Arabidopsis thaliana: one gene and its partners. The protein of the gene in region 2 interacts with the protein of the main gene of each other region in a pairwise test. Each region holds a gene or a part of one and is shown on either strand. Other genes may lie near its edges.

Region 1 (7,071 bases), on a different chromosome or scaffold from region 2:
GAAGTTTGAATGTAAAGTTACAAGTACATATCAAGATTGGTTCCTTAGTAAACAATGATCATAACAAATAACTACGCTCATTTGCCAGGGAGCCAAATACTGCATCAGCTTCAGAATTTTCTTAGCTCTTCCAAGGTCAAGTTTCTGGACTTGACGCATCAAGAATGGGTTGTGAAAACGATTCCTCGTAGCTTAGGTAGACACATAGTCATGGCTTCAACGTATCACAGCTAGTTTCATTAACTTCTGCAGACTCATCCAGTTTGTTAATGGGCTGGGAAAACGATTGCAAGAGAGTTTTTTGTGCAGGTAACTCGGCAATGAAAAGCAATGTTTGAGCCCAACCAGCATATTCACCATATTTACTCACAAAGGCTTCTGCAACTCGGCCATGGAGTTTAGGTGTCAGTTTTGCACCAGCAAGGTCTGGCAGTAGATAATTTGTTGCGATCTGATCCATTATCCAAAACAGAACAAAAAAAAAGTTGCCCGAAGTCATCATCACCATTATGTAATTGGATCTCAATTAAGTAAGTACAATACATAGAAACCGATGGACTTTGTTACCTGCCAGACATGTGTGTCAACCGGAATAGCACTATGCTGATCAAGAGAAAACAGAGCTATGCAAGCTGCTACCTTCGGACCAACACCAGGTAATGTACACAGCGCAGCAACTGCCTCTTGGAGTTCGACTTTGCGCAGAGAAAGAAGCCATTCATTACCACCACCTGGCTTTGCTTGCAAAGCATTCACTGTACCTGTTATGTATTTGGCTCTGCTCACCACAAGATAAACCAGAATGAGAGTTTTCAAATGAGATCAGAACCAATCAGAGAAACGGCCACACAATGATTATCTAGCTTAGACCAAACATTAGCTTCAATTCTATGAATGTATAGCCACAGAGTAAATAAAAGTATAAGCTTCAAGCAAAGTTTTAGCCTAAATGTCTAATTCAACATAATGCAACCATTAGAGAGTGATGAAATCACCTGTAACCAAAACCAGCCTTTCTAAACTCTTCCTCAGAAACCCTAGATAATCGATCCAATGATGGGAACTGATGAAACTCAAATCCATCAATGTCACCCAAATGTAACCCTAAAGACGAAACAAAATCCACCATCTTCGTAATCCTCGCAATGTTATTGTTCGATGAGCACAAAAACTGTATCAAGCACTCGAGCGGATCCTGCCTCAACACACGAGCGCCACGGAGATGTCTCGCTAGCTCTCCGAAACGAGGATCTTTTTTCGAGAAATCAGACCATAGCTCAGCTAACGAGATCTCAGCATTGAGAAAATCGAGCAACGCAAGCTCCGCGGATTTAGGGCTTGTGCTACAATGGACGCAGTAGGAAACTGCGTCGTCTCCTGGACGTTGTCTAAGAGAGACTAAGTGAGGCCCAATCGTTCCGCTATACTGAATCGCTCCAGTTTTCTTCCACCGGAATGTTTGACCCGTCGGAAAAGTTAACGGCAACGTCAGCTCCGTGTGGGTTAGTTTTAACGGGAACCATTTAGGTGTTCCTGTTCTGTGTAGCTTCTGTTTGAGAATCGGTGTGACCGGCGGAGACAGTGGTGGTTTGACGGTGGAAGAGATCGACGGCTGAGATGTAGGTCGAGGTCTCTTCATCGCCGTTGCTCGTTAACGGAACCACCACACCAGTATTAATGCGCGACGGTCGACTAATGTATCAATTTAAACCGGTTTAACCAATTTGAACTTTAAGAACCGAACTAAATAATTGATTCGGTTTTTCTCATTCAAAATTGAAAAATAAAACCGAAGTAAAGTTGACTTTAACCGAAGTTAAACCAAAATTTGGATTGGTCAACGAAGCTTGAATTTCGAAATCAGAACCCTCTTGTTTGTCGAGAAGGTTAGGTCGTCGTGGAGAATGAATTAATATATAGAGATTAATGAAGGAAATGGTGAAAGAAATTGCGAGAAAAAGGTTTGGTGTTTAGCTCGAGAGCTGGAAATCAGAACGACTCGGAGGAGAGAAGACAAAGAAAGCAATTCTTTTTACTAAGGGTCTTGCTTCGATTCCACAGAACCCAAAACCTCTATTTCTCTATCTTCATCCACAAAAATGCCAGCTTCTGAAGGTAAATTGCTGTTTCACATCTTTATCTCTCTCAAAATCCAAATTTAAATTGGGATTTGACTTACCCACATAGATCGTAGTGATGGGTATTTCGAGAATTCGTGTGAATTGAATTACACTTTTTACAATTCTGTCGCAGATAGAAGAGGGAAATGGAAAAGGAAGAAGAGAGGGGGGTTATCGGCGGCGAGGAAACCGAAACAAGAGGAGGAAGATATGGAGGAAGAAGACGAAGAGAATAACAACAACAACAACGAAGAAATGGATGACGTTGAAAATGCCGATGAGCTTCAGCAAAACGGCGGCGCAACTCCCGATCCGGGACTTGGTATTGGCGAGGTAGTTGAAGATTCTGGTTCGCGCATCTCTGATTTCCCGGCAGTGGTTAAGCGTGTTGTGATCCGGCCACACGCGTCTGTAATGGCTGTTGTGGCGGCTGAGAGAGCTGGTTTGATAGGGGAGACTAGAGGGCAAGGTTCACTTCCAGCTCTGGAGAACATTTCGTTTGGGCAATTGCAAGCGTTATCTACTGTACCTGCTGATTCTCTTGATCTTGAGAGGAGTGATGGATCGTCTTCGGCTTATGTTATCTCTCCACCACCTATTATGGATGGAGAAGGAGTTGTTAAACGGTTTGGGGATCTGGTTCATGTCTTGCCTATGCATTCAGGTGTGTTTTTTCTTCCTCTTGATACGCGCATTTATGTTAGAGGTTAGGCTTTATGCAGCATCAGCTTTTGCTGGTTGGTAGTATTGTAGTATATATCTTGTGATTGGAATGAGAATTAGTCAAAACAGGTTTGTATGCCGGTATCTCCTTAACGTATAAGTTCTTATCTTCCTTTTGTCTAGTGCCTGGTTCTTAGTTTACATTAATCTGAACGCGACTCAATTTCATATCAGATGTTTCTCTATGTTCCCATGTTCTGTCTGATGGAAAGGAAGAGGTATTATAACTTTTGTACATGATAAATTAGAGTACCTGCTGGCTTGAAGTAGCCTTAGGTGTCTTATCTCAGAAGTACAACTTGAATAGACTATGCAAGTGATGTTCTTCTAATTCGTTTGGGTTTTGTTCCTGGAGTCCTATGGCTCAAATATATCGAGATTCTCCTCTTATTTTATTTTTATTTTCTGATATTTTTGTTCCCAATGCTCGAATTTATTCTTCTACTTTTGCTGTTACATTTGAGCAGATTGGTTTGCACCAAACACAGTAGATCGACTTGAAAGGCAAGTGGTGCCACAGTTTTTCTCTGGGAAATCGCCAAATCATACACCCGAAAGTTATATGGAATTCAGGAACGCCATTGTTTCCAAATATGTAGAGAACCCTGAAAAGACACTGACGATTTCTGATTGCCAAGGATTGGTAGATGGTGTTGACATTGAAGATTTTGCACGAGTTTTCCGTTTTCTTGATCACTGGGGAATAATCAATTACTGTGCCACTGCCCAGTCACATCCTGGCCCTTTGAGAGATGTATCGGATGTGAGGGAGGACACAAATGGCGAGGTCAATGTGCCGTCTGCTGCTTTAACATCTATTGATAGTTTGATCAAATTTGACAAGCCCAACTGTAGACACAAGGGGGGTGAAGTCTATTCATCCTTGCCAAGTTTGGATGGTGACAGCCCTGACTTGGACATCAGAATTCGTGAACACCTATGTGATAGTCATTGCAACCATTGTTCTCGACCGCTTCCAACTGTGTACTTCCAATCGCAAAAGAAGGTTCTTAGGCTGCTTCCCCTTACGTACTGTTCTTTGTGTATCATTATCTGATTCTTTTTTGCACCCAGTGATGTAATAGACTCCAAGCTTTATCTTGCTTACTGTCTCGGATACTGGACCGCTTCTAACTAAAGGATCTTCATCTCTACTTTACAGGGGGATATACTCTTATGCTGTGATTGTTTTCACCATGGAAGATTTGTTGTTGGACATTCTTGTCTTGACTTTGTAAGAGTGGATCCAATGAAATTTTATGGCGATCAAGATGGAGACAATTGGACTGATCAGGAAACTCTCTTGCTTCTTGAAGCTGTGGAACTCTACAATGAAAATTGGGTTCAAATTGCTGATCATGTTGGTTCCAAGTCAAAAGCTCAATGCATTCTTCATTTTCTTCGATTACCTGTGGAGGATGGTCTATTAGATAATGTTGAGGTTTCTGGTGTAACTAATACGGAAAACCCTACAAATGGATATGACCACAAAGGAACAGATTCAAATGGGGATTTACCTGGTGATTTTGTTTTATTCAATTTGTAGCAATGAATTACTTTCCATAGTTATTTCCTTTGACATGCCATACTAATTGTCCGCTTGCGTCTGCAGGATATTCCGAGCAAGGTTCTGACACTGAGATCAAGCTTCCATTTGTGAAGTCTCCGAATCCGGTTATGGCATTGGTTTGTGAACTTTTTTCCGATGCAGATTTCATATGCGCTTCTTATTATCCTTATGATCTCACCAGTTAGAGATATCTCTGATCCATGAATCGATTATATCTGAGAGCTCAATTGTATGCATATTTTGAGTGGAGAATGGTCCTGTATTGCACATAAGTTTGGAGATATGAGGATCCTGATACCAAAATATTTTAGGTTGCATTTTTGGCATCAGCTGTTGGACCTCGAGTTGCTGCGTCCTGTGCCCATGAATCCCTCTCGGTTTTATCTGAGGACGATAGGTTAGTGTATTATATAGTCTCTATCCAATATAAATTCTCTGTAGTGTGATTCAGTTTAATAATACTATGGACTATTCTGAAACTTCTTGATCTAGGATGAAATCTGAGGGAATGCAAGGGAAAGAAGCCAGCTTGCTTGATGGAGAAAATCAACAGCAAGATGGTAAGGAAGTTATTTGATTGTTCTCTTTACAGTGATTCTTTGCTCTTTTGTTTTAACCTAATCTGCGACACCAACATGCTTTAATTGTAAAAAAAACTCAGGAGCACACAAAACATCAAGCCAAAACGGAGCAGAAGCGCAGACTCCACTGCCACAGGATAAGGTTATGGCAGCATTTAGAGCCGGTCTATCAGCTGCAGCAACAAAAGCAAAATTGTTTGCTGATCATGAGGAACGCGAAATCCAGAGACTTTCTGCTAATATCGTTAATCACCAGGTAAAATAGCAGAACCAGTTGCTGATGAGAATTACTGTAGGTAGTTGATTTATTTTGTTGTATAGTGTTTATTGCTGATCTGAGTAAAAACCGCAGCTGAAGAGGATGGAGCTGAAATTAAAGCAGTTCGCAGAAATTGAAACACTGTTGATGAAAGAATGCGAACAAGTAGAGAAAACCCGTCAGAGATTTTCTGCAGAACGGGCTCGTATGCTCTCAGCAAGATTTGGATCTCCTGGAGGAATCTCTCCACAGACTAATAATCTCCAAGGCATGTCTCTATCCACAGGTGGTAACAACATCAATTCTCTCATGCATCAGCAACATCAGCAACAACAAGCTTCCGCAACTTCTCAACCAAGCATAATCCCAGGATTCAGCAACAACCCGCAAGTTCAAGCACAGATGCATTTCATGGCACGACAACAACAACAACAACAACAACAACAACAACAACAACAGCAAGCTTTCTCGTTTGGCCCGAGATTACCTCTCAATGCAATACAGACCAATGCAGGATCAACAGCTTCACCAAACGTCATGTTTGGCAACAACCAACTAAATAACCCTGCAGCAGCTGGAGCAGCATCGATCAACCAGCCTTCGTTTAGTCACCCGATGGTTAGGTCTTCCACAGGTTCAGGCTCAGGGTCCGGCTTAGGCTTAAACTAAGATCCATCTTTCTCTAGCTTATTTAGCTTATCAGTATCCATATTTATTTCACCTTGTTATTTTTAAAGATAAGTTATTTGGCTTTGAGACCGTAGTCTTGTTCCAAGTTAGTGTCTTGTAGTATCAAACCATCATCATCATCATTGTGAATTAAAACAGTCACCAATCTTAATGTCTCTCTTTCCCACAACCATTTCTCTACTCTTCAAACATTAGGGGTCTTTTAACTCGATTCATTTTGACGATAATATATAGACAATTTCATTACAAATCTACATGTAACATATTCGTTCTTGTCGCAATGAAAAACTCAAAATCATTTTTATTTGATTAATCTCTAAGATGTTTTTTTTTTTTTAAGCCTAACCATTTAACCAAGGCGGGAACGAGCTATCATTAACATGGTTTTTTTCTCATAAGAGCTTAAATCCGAATCAGTCCGTTTTAGCGGCGAACCACGGCGAGAAGAGAAGGACGATTTCGGCGAACTCCACCTCGAAGATACCGGCGATCCCTGGCTAGAATCTTCTTCCGACGGAGAAAGCGTTGTTCCCGATTCATAGAAATTGTCAGACTCCGATGTTGTTGATGATGGTTCCTGCTGACCGGTCTTTTTTAAATCGCCGCTCTTACTCTTTTTCAACCCAAATAATGACTTGGGAAAAAAACACCGAGGCAATGAGCCACCGGCACGAGGAGAAGAAGATCGGAAATATGGAGTCGGAGATGCTGAACAGTTGGAGTCGGAATCTGAAGGCGATTTCAGCTTGAAAGACGGAGGAGGAGCGAAGGGAGAGACTGGTCGGCTTCTGGATTCAGAGAAGAAAGAAGAAGAAGACGACGGAGATGGCGAATTCGACGGCGGAGTTGATTTTAATTTGAGAGGAGGAAGTTTGTTAGGAGGAGGTGGTTGAAGAAGAGCTGGATCATCATCACCGGGTCGGGTTTTAGGTACACCGGGTCGGATCTCCCACTTAAAAGGCACAGCTCCGGGTCTCTTGAAAGAATCGTCACCATCGACCATTAGGTAAAAGTAAACAAAAGCGTTTCTGTCTTGATCAAATTAAGATTCATAAGGATTCTACTAATAAGAAACTACTTATAGATTTAGATTAGATCAATTATTTTTAGAACGTATCCAGATTTATG
Region 2 (5,551 bases):
TCAGCCTGGTCAAAATTGATTCTTTCGTCTACTTTCTAAGGTTTTCTATTCCCAATTCTTTTTGTAGCTCCGATGTTTCTGTCTACAGACAGAAGATTAAGCCTTTTGAGTTTGTCTATTGTTCTGATGAAGAGTTTCGCATGGTTCTTGTTATAGGTAATGAAAAGTATGCTCATTTGAAGAAGCTTGATAAAGCTGGTGACAAACTCAAGCTCTTCAAGGCTGATTTGCTCAACTACGGCTCTCTTCAATCTGCTATTGCTGGCTGCAGCGGCGTCTTCCATGTCGCTTGCCCTGTTCCATCTGCTTCAGTCCCTAATCCTGAGGTGAGGATTTCATTTTTACAATCTCATTGGTGGCTATATGCATTGTCTCACTATGGTTTCACTGGTTTTGCAGGTAGATTTGATCGCACCTGCAGTGGATGGTACGCTGAATGTGCTTAAGGCATGCGTTGAAGCAAAAGTTAAGCGTGTTGTGTATGTTTCCTCTGTATCTGCAGTTGCTATGAACCCTATGTGGTCAAAGAGTCAAGTGTTAGATGAGACCGCTTGGTCTGACCAAGATTATTGCAAAAAAACTGAGGTTAATAATGCATCTTGAATCCCTCATCTCACTTTTTTTTCTTCTTTTAAATCTGACTTTCGTCCCTCTGGCAGAATTGGTATTCTTTGTCAAAGACACGAGCAGAAAGTGAAGCTTTCGAATTTGCAAAACGAACCGGACTTGATCTCGTCAGTGTTTGCCCTACCCTTGTCTTGGGACCTGTATTGCAGCAGCACACAGTAAATGCTAGTAGCCTTGTTCTTCTCAAGCTTCTTAAAGGTATTATAAACAAGCCTCTCATTTCATCTGGGATTGTTAGAAGCAGCAACTTGGTATATGAGTTGGTATTGATTTTATACTTAAGTGTGGTGCAGAGGGTTATGAATCGCGTAATAACCAAGAACGGCATTTGGTAGATGTGCGTGATGTGGCTCAAGCTTTACTTTTGGTTTATGAGAAAGCAGAAGCTGAAGGAAGGTACATCTGCATAGGCCACACGGTTAGGGAACAAGAAGTCGCTGAGAAGCTGAAAAGTCTTTATCTAAATTACAACTACCCAAAGAGGTAAGCAAACAACAGCTGCACATCTCTCTACCCAATTTGAGTGAAAACCTTTAAACCTTAATAAGCTGTTTTTGTTACTTTCATCAGTAAACAGTGTCACTTACCTTTACATCAATGTCTCTGAAGTTTCTTTTAGACCTTACCTTTGATCTAAATTCTACTTATCCAATATCAGATACATCGAAGCGGATGGAAAAGTGAAGGTGAGTTCAGAGAAGTTGCAGAAGTTGGGTTGGACTTACCGGCCGTTGGAGGAAACACTTGTGGATTCTGTTGAGAGCTACCGCAAAGCTAAGCTTGTGGACTGAAAACTGGGAACGAATAGCATATGAGTGTTTTGGGTCCATGTGTTAAGTGTTCCTATCTGCACACGCTCTTTCATCTTTTACTCAAGAATAAGAGTTGTGCAACATATTTTCCATCATGAACTTCTGAGTTTTTGTTACTTTCTTAGACACCATTACTTTTATGACCAATCTACAATTACTCCTTCCATAACTATGTTCCAATATCTCTTTGATACGTTCCAATTTCTACCTACTTACAAAGGATAACTTCACCATTAATACATGAAATCAGTAACGCACAACTTCACCATTCGAATTAACCTCTAAGCCTAGCGTAGCAGATGCACTACATCTTGGCTGACCATGGGACTAAAAAAACATTCGCAATATTTAACAACTAAAGCCAGGTTAATGGACCTGTATTAGGGCCCAAACCAGGCCCGTTTAGATATCCGACTTTTTTTTTAACTTTGCCCATCTCGATAGCTAGATTCTCTTTTCCCTCTTCCTTCTCCGGCGAAGTTGCGTTAGTTAAACAGAGAGTCATGGCCATGAAAGCTCCCGATCCCGGCGGATCTGGGGAAATTCTCCCGAGCACTCCCTCTCTTTCCGAAACTACGTCTGGAGGCGCCGCAGCAGCTTCTAAGTCGGCTCAATTGCCGTCTTCTTCTTCCGATATCGATAATATTCACGTACCTAGCTACTCCAGTAAGTCTGCAACGCCGAGAAAACTTTGATTTATTCTACTTTCTTCACTGTTTCTTACGGATTTTGTACTTGTACCGTCTATTTAACCAATTAGGTTGGTTTTCATGGACCGACATTAACGATTGCGAGGTCCGGTCACTGCCGGAATTTTTCGATTCGAGATCTTCATCCAAAAACCCTAAGTTTTATCTCTACTTGAGGAACTCGATTATTAAGCAGTACAGAGACGACCATCCTCGGAAGATTAGTTTCACTGACGTTCGGAGAACTCTCGTCAGTGATGTTGTCTCTATTCGTCGCGTCTTTGATTTCCTCGATTCATGGGGACTTATCAACTATAATAGCTCCGCCTCTGCTAAGCCGCTCAAGTGGGAAGAAAAAGAGGCCGGAAAATCCGCCGGAGATGCTGCTTCTGAGCCAGCCACAACTGTCAAAGAAACTGCCAAGAGAAACTGCAATGGCTGCAAAGCAATTTGCAGCATAGCTTGTTTCGCCTGTGATAAGGTTTGATTTCATAATTTGTAGCCATAGTAATAATTTCATTCACTGAGTTTGTCACTTAGAATGATTATGTACATTTTTGTTTTCAGTATGACTTGACATTGTGTGCGAGGTGCTATGTTCGTAGTAATTATCGTGTTGGTATTAACTCCTCGGAGTTTAAACGAGTTGAGATTAGTGAGGAGTCAAAGCCAGAGTGGTCTGATAAGGAAATTCTGCTGCTGCTGGAAGCTGTTATGCACTATGGAGATGATTGGAAGAAGGTTGCATCGCATGTTATTGGTAGAACGGAGAAGGATTGTGTTTCTCAGTTTGTCAAGCTTCCGTTTGGGGAACAGTTTGTAAAAGAGTCTGACTCTGAGGATGGTTTAGAGATGTTTGATCAGATCAAGGACTCTGATATTCCTGAATCTGAAGGAATAGATAAAGACGGTTCTTCTCCCAACAAGCGGATCAAATTAACACCTCTTGCAGATGCAAGCAACCCAATAATGGCTCAGGTTAGAAAGACACTACAATTTGAGTAGTTGCGTTCTCTCTCTATGTTAATCTTATTTGTATAAGTCTTCAACATGCGTGGAAATGCTTTTACATTGTTAGGCTACTGAAGAATAGTCCAGTGTCTGCACTAGGCTGTTCCACGACTTGCGTTTTTGTCTCCTTAAAGAACCTAAATCTAGAATACCTTGTGGGGCTTACTTTGAAATCTAGTAATAACAAACCCTAGTTGACATATATAAGGCATTTAAGAATCAAATATGTGTTAGATAATTCTGTACTGTGTTATCACACCTCAATTGTTATGCTTCATTGGCTGTCTCTGAATAAGATTTATCCTATCATGTCCTCTTCAGGCTGCTTTTCTTTCAGCTTTGGCTGGCACAAATGTTGCAGAAGCAGCAGCTCGAGCGGCAGTGAGAGCTTTATCTGATGTAGACTACGAGGCTGACAAAAACGCCAGTAGAGACCCAAATCGACAAGGTATCAAAGACCAAGCTGTCTCTATTTGCAGTCCATTTCTGTCCTAAGCCAAACCCAATAGTGACAGTTTTGTTTTCCTGATACACAGATGCCAATGCTGCATCGAGTGGTGAAACCACTAGAAACGAATCTGAAAGAGCTTGGGCAGATGCAAAGTCTTTAATTGAGAAGGAAGAGCATGAGGTAGAAGGAGCAATCAAAGAGACTGTTGAAGTTGAGGTTAGTAACAATCTGCAACTTTCCATAGACTTTTTATTATATGGTTATACTCAATGATGATTTATGTTGGAACAAACAAAATTTGGGATTAACAGATGAAGAAGATCCGAGATAGGATTGTTCATTTCGAGAAATTGGATTTGGAAATGGAGAGAAGCCGGAAACAATTGGAGGAGGTGAGGAATCTGCTTTTCGTTGATCAATTAAACATTTTCTTCCACACCAGAAAAGCCCGGAAAACTGAAGATAGAATAGAGTGTTAGAACGCACTTAATTTGAAACTGTTATTTCTTATTTGATTCTTGTCTGGTTAAGAAGATGACTTGTATTGTAGTGTACTTGAGATGTGTTGGTAACAAAATGAGATGAGATCGAATTGGTATAAATAAGGCTGGGTTGGTATAAAAGTCAAAACCAAATGGCAACTGCGTCGAAGTATAATTTTTGTCTTTATCAGGCAATCACAAGTGGAAAAGTTTTAAAAATTAATTTTGCTCTTTTGGAAACAATAGAAAATGTCAGGGTTTTGGAGATATCCGATATAAAAGATAGATTTTGTTTTCACTAAATAGGTTAATCTTCAAATGTTGTTAAGTTACCGATGTTTTTTTTGTATCTCCGTAACATGATTACTCTCTTTGTTGCTAAAAGAGTGATGGTTTTTATATTAAGAAACAGTCATTAATTAATCATTTCTGTATTGTTTGTTATATTAAACATTTTCAATAACTATAAACCAATAGCAGTCTAACAAATTTCAATCATTTTATCTTGAACTTTACTAGTTCAGGTTTTTCAGACAAACTAAAAAAACATTGAATTTTCTGTTTTATCTCTAATTAATGTGTTATTTAATATCATATCATCAATTAATCAGCCAAAACAATAAGAATTTCTTTTGGAAAATCTTTCAAAAACATGCATTGAAAATATAAAACGATAACTAATTTAATACAAAATTTAATTTCTAAAACATAACTAATTTAGAAAGGAGTGAGTGATATTTAAAAAAAATAAAGAAAAAACGAAAATGTTTTTTTTGTGGGACAAGTTAAAAGTGGTAGAACATCAATTTATTAGAAACAAAGAGAGTGTATTTTTCTTTCTTCCCCATCGGGAAACCAAACCCAATTTATTTATATATTAAACTCGTACAATATAAAATCTTTTATATTTAACTAAAAATTCAGTAAATATCCATTCTTCGTAAATATTTAAACTCTATTTTTTCTTTTTAAAAAGATCAATTTACATCTTAAATTCAAAATATAAACCATAATATATTATGTACATATTAATACTGCATTCTAAACAATTTCCCAATATAAAAAATAAAAATATATAGAGGTAAATAACTTATCATAACTACTTTATTGATGGCCTTTATAATTAGTTTCTGCTTTGGTAGAATTTTTTAGTTCAGCCTTTATCTCGTTATCTGCATGTCTCTAATTGAGCTTTGTTGCTAAGTTTTAGCTTTTTTTTTTCTTATGCGATCACTTTGCTGGTTGTTGTGTTGGTTGGTTCGGTTCCTTGTACCTTTGATGTATCCTCTATTTCTCTTTTTATCTAGGTTAAGCTTTTTTATTAATGAAATATTAAGTTTGATTGGAAAAAAGAGGCACATTAATAGAAAGTTAGCTTTGTTGTTTAGGTTTTATTTAATATATGTACGTGTGTCATATGTCATAGGTAACAATCTTACTATTTGATTATTAAGCCGGTTTTTGCGTGACGGAACTCTT
Region 3 (4,717 bases), 3.3 Mb from region 2:
TGAGGCATTGTCACCACTTACGGCTAAGGCATCATCACCTGTTAACGCTGAGGATGCTGACATAGTATCGTCAAAGCCTAGTTCTGATTTGAAATCCAAAACTACATCTGTTTTCATACCTGATGGTGAACGTTTATGGGAAGGTGTGCTCCAGCTGAGTCCTTCTACTGTGAGCTCTGTCATCGGCATTCTAAGAAGGTTTGTAATAAATTGTTTCATGAGTGGTAGCAAACCTATCTCAGTATTTTTTTTTTATTCCACATTTCCAAATTTAGGTTTGCATATATGAATAGCTTTCTTTATTTAGTCTACATGTTACTACTTATCTATACTATTCTAGTGCTTATCAGCTCTATAAAATGTTTTTTTAATGAATATGGCTTCGCTGTTATTGATACCATGTTTACCAACCTGATTTTTACGCTTCACAGTGGCGAAAAGACTACTACAAAAGAGTGGCCTATTTTGCTCGAGATTAAGGGTAGAGTCAGATTAGATGCATTTGAGAAGTTTGTTCGAGAGCTCCCAAATTCCAGGAGTCGTGCTGTAATGGTATTTGTCTACACGTTTACCTCTATCATTAATGTACATGTTTTATATACGCATTCTGTGTTTGAGCCCCTGCAAAAGCTATTAACTGTGACGTTTAACCAAGCTTAAGTAGAAGCATTTAGGAAAGAAGAGGAGAGATTAACGGCCAATACTGATTTGTGAATGATTGAGAAAAATACATTACATCTGTGAATCACAATGGAGATAGATGGACTTACAAAAATATTTTCACCAGAACAATTGCATAGCTTATGTTTCTTGAATAGGCCTCCATATTCCAATAAAACTAAGACCTGTTTGTTCTCGATTCTATATGTATGTGATGAACTCGTTTATCCATCATGGTACTTCTGAAACCTTGCTTTCGTGTTACAGGTTATGTGTTTCGTCTGCAAAGAAGAGTGCTCAAAGACAGAACAAGAGAACATTTCCGAGGTATGAGCGTTGGTAGTTAACCAAGATTCTGTGTATCCAAATAAACGAAAAGATGATTAAAAAAACTTGAGATTTATTTGAATATTAATGATTTATTTGATCAAAACTGAACGCGAATCTGTACAAACTGAAAACCCAAACCGAATTTAAATTGAAACACTCCTAAATATCTGTAGAATGTCTAACTTGGTAACGAAATTTGGGCATTTGGTTTTGTTACTATACAGGTGGTGGATTCATACGCTAAAGATGGGAGGGTGGGTTATGCAGAACCAGCTTCAGGAGTTGAGCTATACCTATGCCCAACCCGTGGGAGAACTGTCGAGATTCTAAACAAGATTGTTCCGAGAAACCAACTCGATTTCTTGAAATCTATAAATGATGATGGTCTTATAGGTGTTGTTGTATGGAGAAGACACACAATTTAAAAAATCACCACTATCTAACAACTCTCACAAGAACCACCGTGAAAAGGGTTCTTCGTTAACCACATATAATACTTCTCGTTACAGTAACATGCTACAGGTCAACAATGACGATGGTGATGATGTGCCACCGGGGTTTGGCCCAATGACCATGGCTCGGGATGAAGATGATGACTTGCCTGAATTTAACTATTTTTCCAGTGGGGATGTTGTCGTGAACCGGACAAGCCGGTCTGTATCTGTAAGAGAGCTTATTCAAAAATATGGAAAATCTGAACCTTTGAGGAACCAAAGTTATAATGATAATGACAATGATATACTACCAGAGTGGCAGCCTCAATCTAACTGGACTCTTGGGGTTACTCATGTAAATGGTGGCTCGATGGTTAGACCATGTAGTGAGTGGTGGTCTCATCAGGATGGCAGAGGAGGATATTAATTGTTTTTTGTTTCACCTTAGCAATTTTGTGTTTGTTATGCATTTTCTGTTGCAGGCAACACTGCTTTCCAAATTTTGTGATTTTCTCTCAACAGTCACCGATATTTGGCACTTTATTAGTAAGATGGGCTTGCGCAGCCCGCTAATATATTGCTCCTTTCTGTAACAAAAAGTACAAAAGTAACAAAATCCACTCCTATCGATTATACTATAAAACAGAAGTGCAGAGAAAATTTCAGTCATGATATTTTTTGACCAGCTCGATTCAGAAATTTGGAAAGACTAGCTTTTTTTTCTCTCGGGTTTCACTTTTTAAAGGTCGTGAAAATTTGGGAATCACTGATCAATTTTGTTAATATGATTTCCTGATTTAGGGTTTCTCTGCATGCCTCTAGAATCAGCAAGTGTAAAGCAATTACCATGGTGACTCCGAAGCAGATCGATTTCTCTTCCTGTGGTGGTGGTGATAACTCCGACGATACCCTCTCCCATCGAGAATCTCCACGGAATCCTTCCTCAAAGCGTGCTGCTGCTTCCTTCGCAGCAGAAGCAGGCGAAGAGACTATGAAGAAGAAAAAGAAGAAGAAGAAGAAGAATTTGGGTCCGCCGTTGATCGTCCGGATCTGGAACGAGGAAGATGAGCTCTCTATCTTAAAGGTATTCTATTCATCTTCTCCGTTACACTTTGATTTGGTTTTGCATTCTGATTTTCTCAAAACCAGATTCGAAATTTCTCAGGGATTAGTTGATTACAGAGCTAAGACAGGATTCAATCCCAAAATTGATTGGGATGCGTTTTACAGTTTCCTCGGAAGTTCTATCGTTGCGAAATTCTCCAAGGAGCAGGTTTTGAGTAAGATCAGGAAGTTGAAAAGGAGATTTCATGTTCATTGGGAGAAAATCAGTGAAGGGAATGATCCGAAATTTACTAGGTCTAGTGATTCTGAAGCCTTTGGATTTTCTTCGATGATTTGGGGACAAGGTGAATTTGGTAATGATGATGGTATGGATAAGGAGATGGTGAAGGAGCACGATGTAAACGGAAATGGCGCAGCTGAAAATGGGACTGCTCGAATAGCACAGGAGAACGAGAGTGGGGAGGAGATGTTAAAGGAGCATGAGGAAACGTTAAATGAGAATGGTGCAGAGGAGATAAGAGACAACGACGAGACTGCTCGGAAAGCACAGCAGCTCGAGAGCGAGAGCGAGGAGGAGATGTTGAAGGAGCATGAGGAACCCTTTAATGAGAATGGTGCAGAGAATATAAGAGACAATAACGGGACTACTCAAATAGCACAGCAGAGCGAGAGCGAGAGTGAGGAGATGTTGAAGGAGCATGAGGAAGTGGCTAATACTGAACTTGTAAATGAGAATGGGGCAGCGAAAACAACAGAGAACGGGACTACTGGTGGAAAAGAGAGACATGATGACGATGATGATGATGAGTTATGCGCTGTGCAGGATGCATTTGAGGCTGTAATGTCGCAAGGTTTAAGTGGTTATCAAAAGAAGTTGCAGCTTGAGAAGCTGATGAACCTTGGAACTGGAAAAAGAAGAGAGTTGAGTGATGAATGGAAAGCGTTATGTGTTGAGGAAAGAAGATTGAATATCAAGAAGCTTAGATTTTCCGCCAAGCTTGCAGAGGCAGCTAATGATAGTTAGATGAAACCAATAAGCCGTTGTAGCATTTGGTGTTAATTAGGTTCTTAGTAAGCCATAAGCTTTAGTCTGTTCAGTGTATATCTTTGGATGTTGTCTTTGTTCTGTTTGGGCAAGTGTTTGTAAGACATTCCAGTTTTAACTGAAGTATCCAGAAGAGCCATCCATGTCCATTGTTGGATATAATAAATTTCATTACTTTCTTGTTGCACCAATCAGTCAATGAAGTGGCAAAACATTTTATATGCATTCCCTAACAAAAGGCATTTACAATGTAATTTTTACATTTTTAACCACTAAAAGGCCAGAAGAAGTGCACAAAGAAAGACTGACCAAATAATAAAATAATTTTTCTTGTCGGTAGTCACCAAAACCATGCTATTCCAAAATGCACTTCCTTTGCAACAAACGGCTTATATCCATATGAATCCGACAGAGGAAGACAAAAGGATTTAGTCTTGTGATGTAGCAGAGTATTCAAAAAGCAAACGTTTGGAAGGTGCAGATTGCAGAAGGACACGCAAGCGGCTCGTGAGCTGGTAAATAAGTGTCCATTGCATTGCCATCTCAGAATCTTTCATCTGTCTTACCACAGAGGCCTGTAGATAAAAGACAGCAAGAACCGTGGAGTGCTTATTTTGGTTAGGTTTTGAAAAAAATGAGGCCATATGGAGAAGAAAGAAGATTTCAATGTTTATGCCTGACCTGAAGACGTTTTCCGAGCTGCACTTCAACTTCCGTTCCAAATGATATGTTGCTCGCCAGAGACTTGAGAGGATCCACAGTTGGATCAACAGAGAGTAAACTTGGGATCTGCGGAGCATACACCAACCTCCATCTCGCCTGACCAAACTCTCCTTTTCCTTCTATCCTTGGCATTATGGTTCCAAGTGTTGCGGTTGCAAGTTTTTTGAAAGCAAGTTGTCCATCTCCTTCTAATATGGATTCTGCTAATTGGCTCTCAAACACCTTTGCAGCCTGCGAAAGGGAGATTATTAAACAGAGATTTCCATCAAGAAGAAAACACAACAATTTCCAAAATACAGCTACATTTTAACTTCAAATTTACCTCCGAAGGTGAGAGAGCATCCTGTTCAACAGAACGTGTTGAAGTCACGACAAGTTTGTCCTGCCAATTACTGGCACGACTTTGAACCCTAAATTGCCATTCTGAACCAACTAAGGCTAAATCTAGCAGAGGATCTAG

What was found.
Region 1: the proteins of SWI3B (region 2) and SWI3C interact in binary tests that used the Arabidopsis thaliana proteins (3 or more experiments, as listed by UniProt).
Region 3: the proteins of SWI3B (region 2) and AT2G25650 interact in binary tests that used the Arabidopsis thaliana proteins (3 or more experiments, as listed by UniProt).

Annotation. Positions count from the first base shown.
Region 1 is NC_003070.9:7,619,007-7,626,077, reverse strand, and holds SWI3C (SWITCH/sucrose nonfermenting 3C), read left to right. Parts: upstream 1-1,911; 5' UTR 1,912-2,099; coding exon 2,100-2,115; intron 2,116-2,253; coding exon 2,254-2,784; intron 2,785-3,310; coding exon 3,311-3,849; intron 3,850-4,005; coding exon 4,006-4,363; intron 4,364-4,455; coding exon 4,456-4,529; intron 4,530-4,724; coding exon 4,725-4,810; intron 4,811-4,905; coding exon 4,906-4,973; intron 4,974-5,074; coding exon 5,075-5,250; intron 5,251-5,346; coding exon 5,347-5,922; 3' UTR 5,923-6,077; downstream 6,078-7,071. Other genes in the region: OGG1 (8-oxoguanine-DNA glycosylase 1), read right to left, coding at 209-451, 568-778, 996-1,639; AT1G21695 (hydroxyproline-rich glycoprotein family protein), read right to left, coding at 6,293-6,946. UniProt on the Arabidopsis thaliana protein: Component of a multiprotein complex equivalent of the SWI/SNF complex, an ATP-dependent chromatin-remodeling complex, which is required for the positive and negative regulation of gene expression of a large number of genes.
Region 2 is NC_003071.7:14,227,081-14,232,631, forward strand, and holds SWI3B (switch subunit 3), read left to right. Parts: upstream 1-1,891; 5' UTR 1,892-1,942; coding exon 1,943-2,105; intron 2,106-2,199; coding exon 2,200-2,609; intron 2,610-2,695; coding exon 2,696-3,106; intron 3,107-3,460; coding exon 3,461-3,587; intron 3,588-3,675; coding exon 3,676-3,806; intron 3,807-3,901; coding exon 3,902-4,069; 3' UTR 4,070-4,328; downstream 4,329-5,551. Other genes in the region: CRL2 (NAD(P)-binding Rossmann-fold superfamily protein), read left to right, coding at 157-326, 400-585, 660-825, 921-1,110, 1,286-1,418. UniProt on the Arabidopsis thaliana protein: Component of a multiprotein complex equivalent of the SWI/SNF complex, an ATP-dependent chromatin-remodeling complex, which is required for the positive and negative regulation of gene expression of a large number of genes.
Region 3 is NC_003071.7:10,912,494-10,917,210, forward strand, and holds AT2G25650 (DNA-binding storekeeper protein-related transcriptional regulator), read left to right. Parts: upstream 1-2,017; 5' UTR 2,018-2,271; coding exon 2,272-2,508; intron 2,509-2,589; coding exon 2,590-3,513; 3' UTR 3,514-3,723; downstream 3,724-4,717. Other genes in the region: AT2G25640 (SPOC domain / Transcription elongation factor S-II protein), read left to right, coding at 1-198, 432-552, 928-987, 1,215-1,415; emb2410 (embryo defective 2410), read right to left, coding at 3,963-4,109, 4,216-4,488, 4,580-4,717. UniProt on the Arabidopsis thaliana protein: Probable transcription factor. May play redundant roles with GEBP and GPL2 in cytokinin responses by regulating the transcript levels of type-A ARR response genes. Involved in stress responses.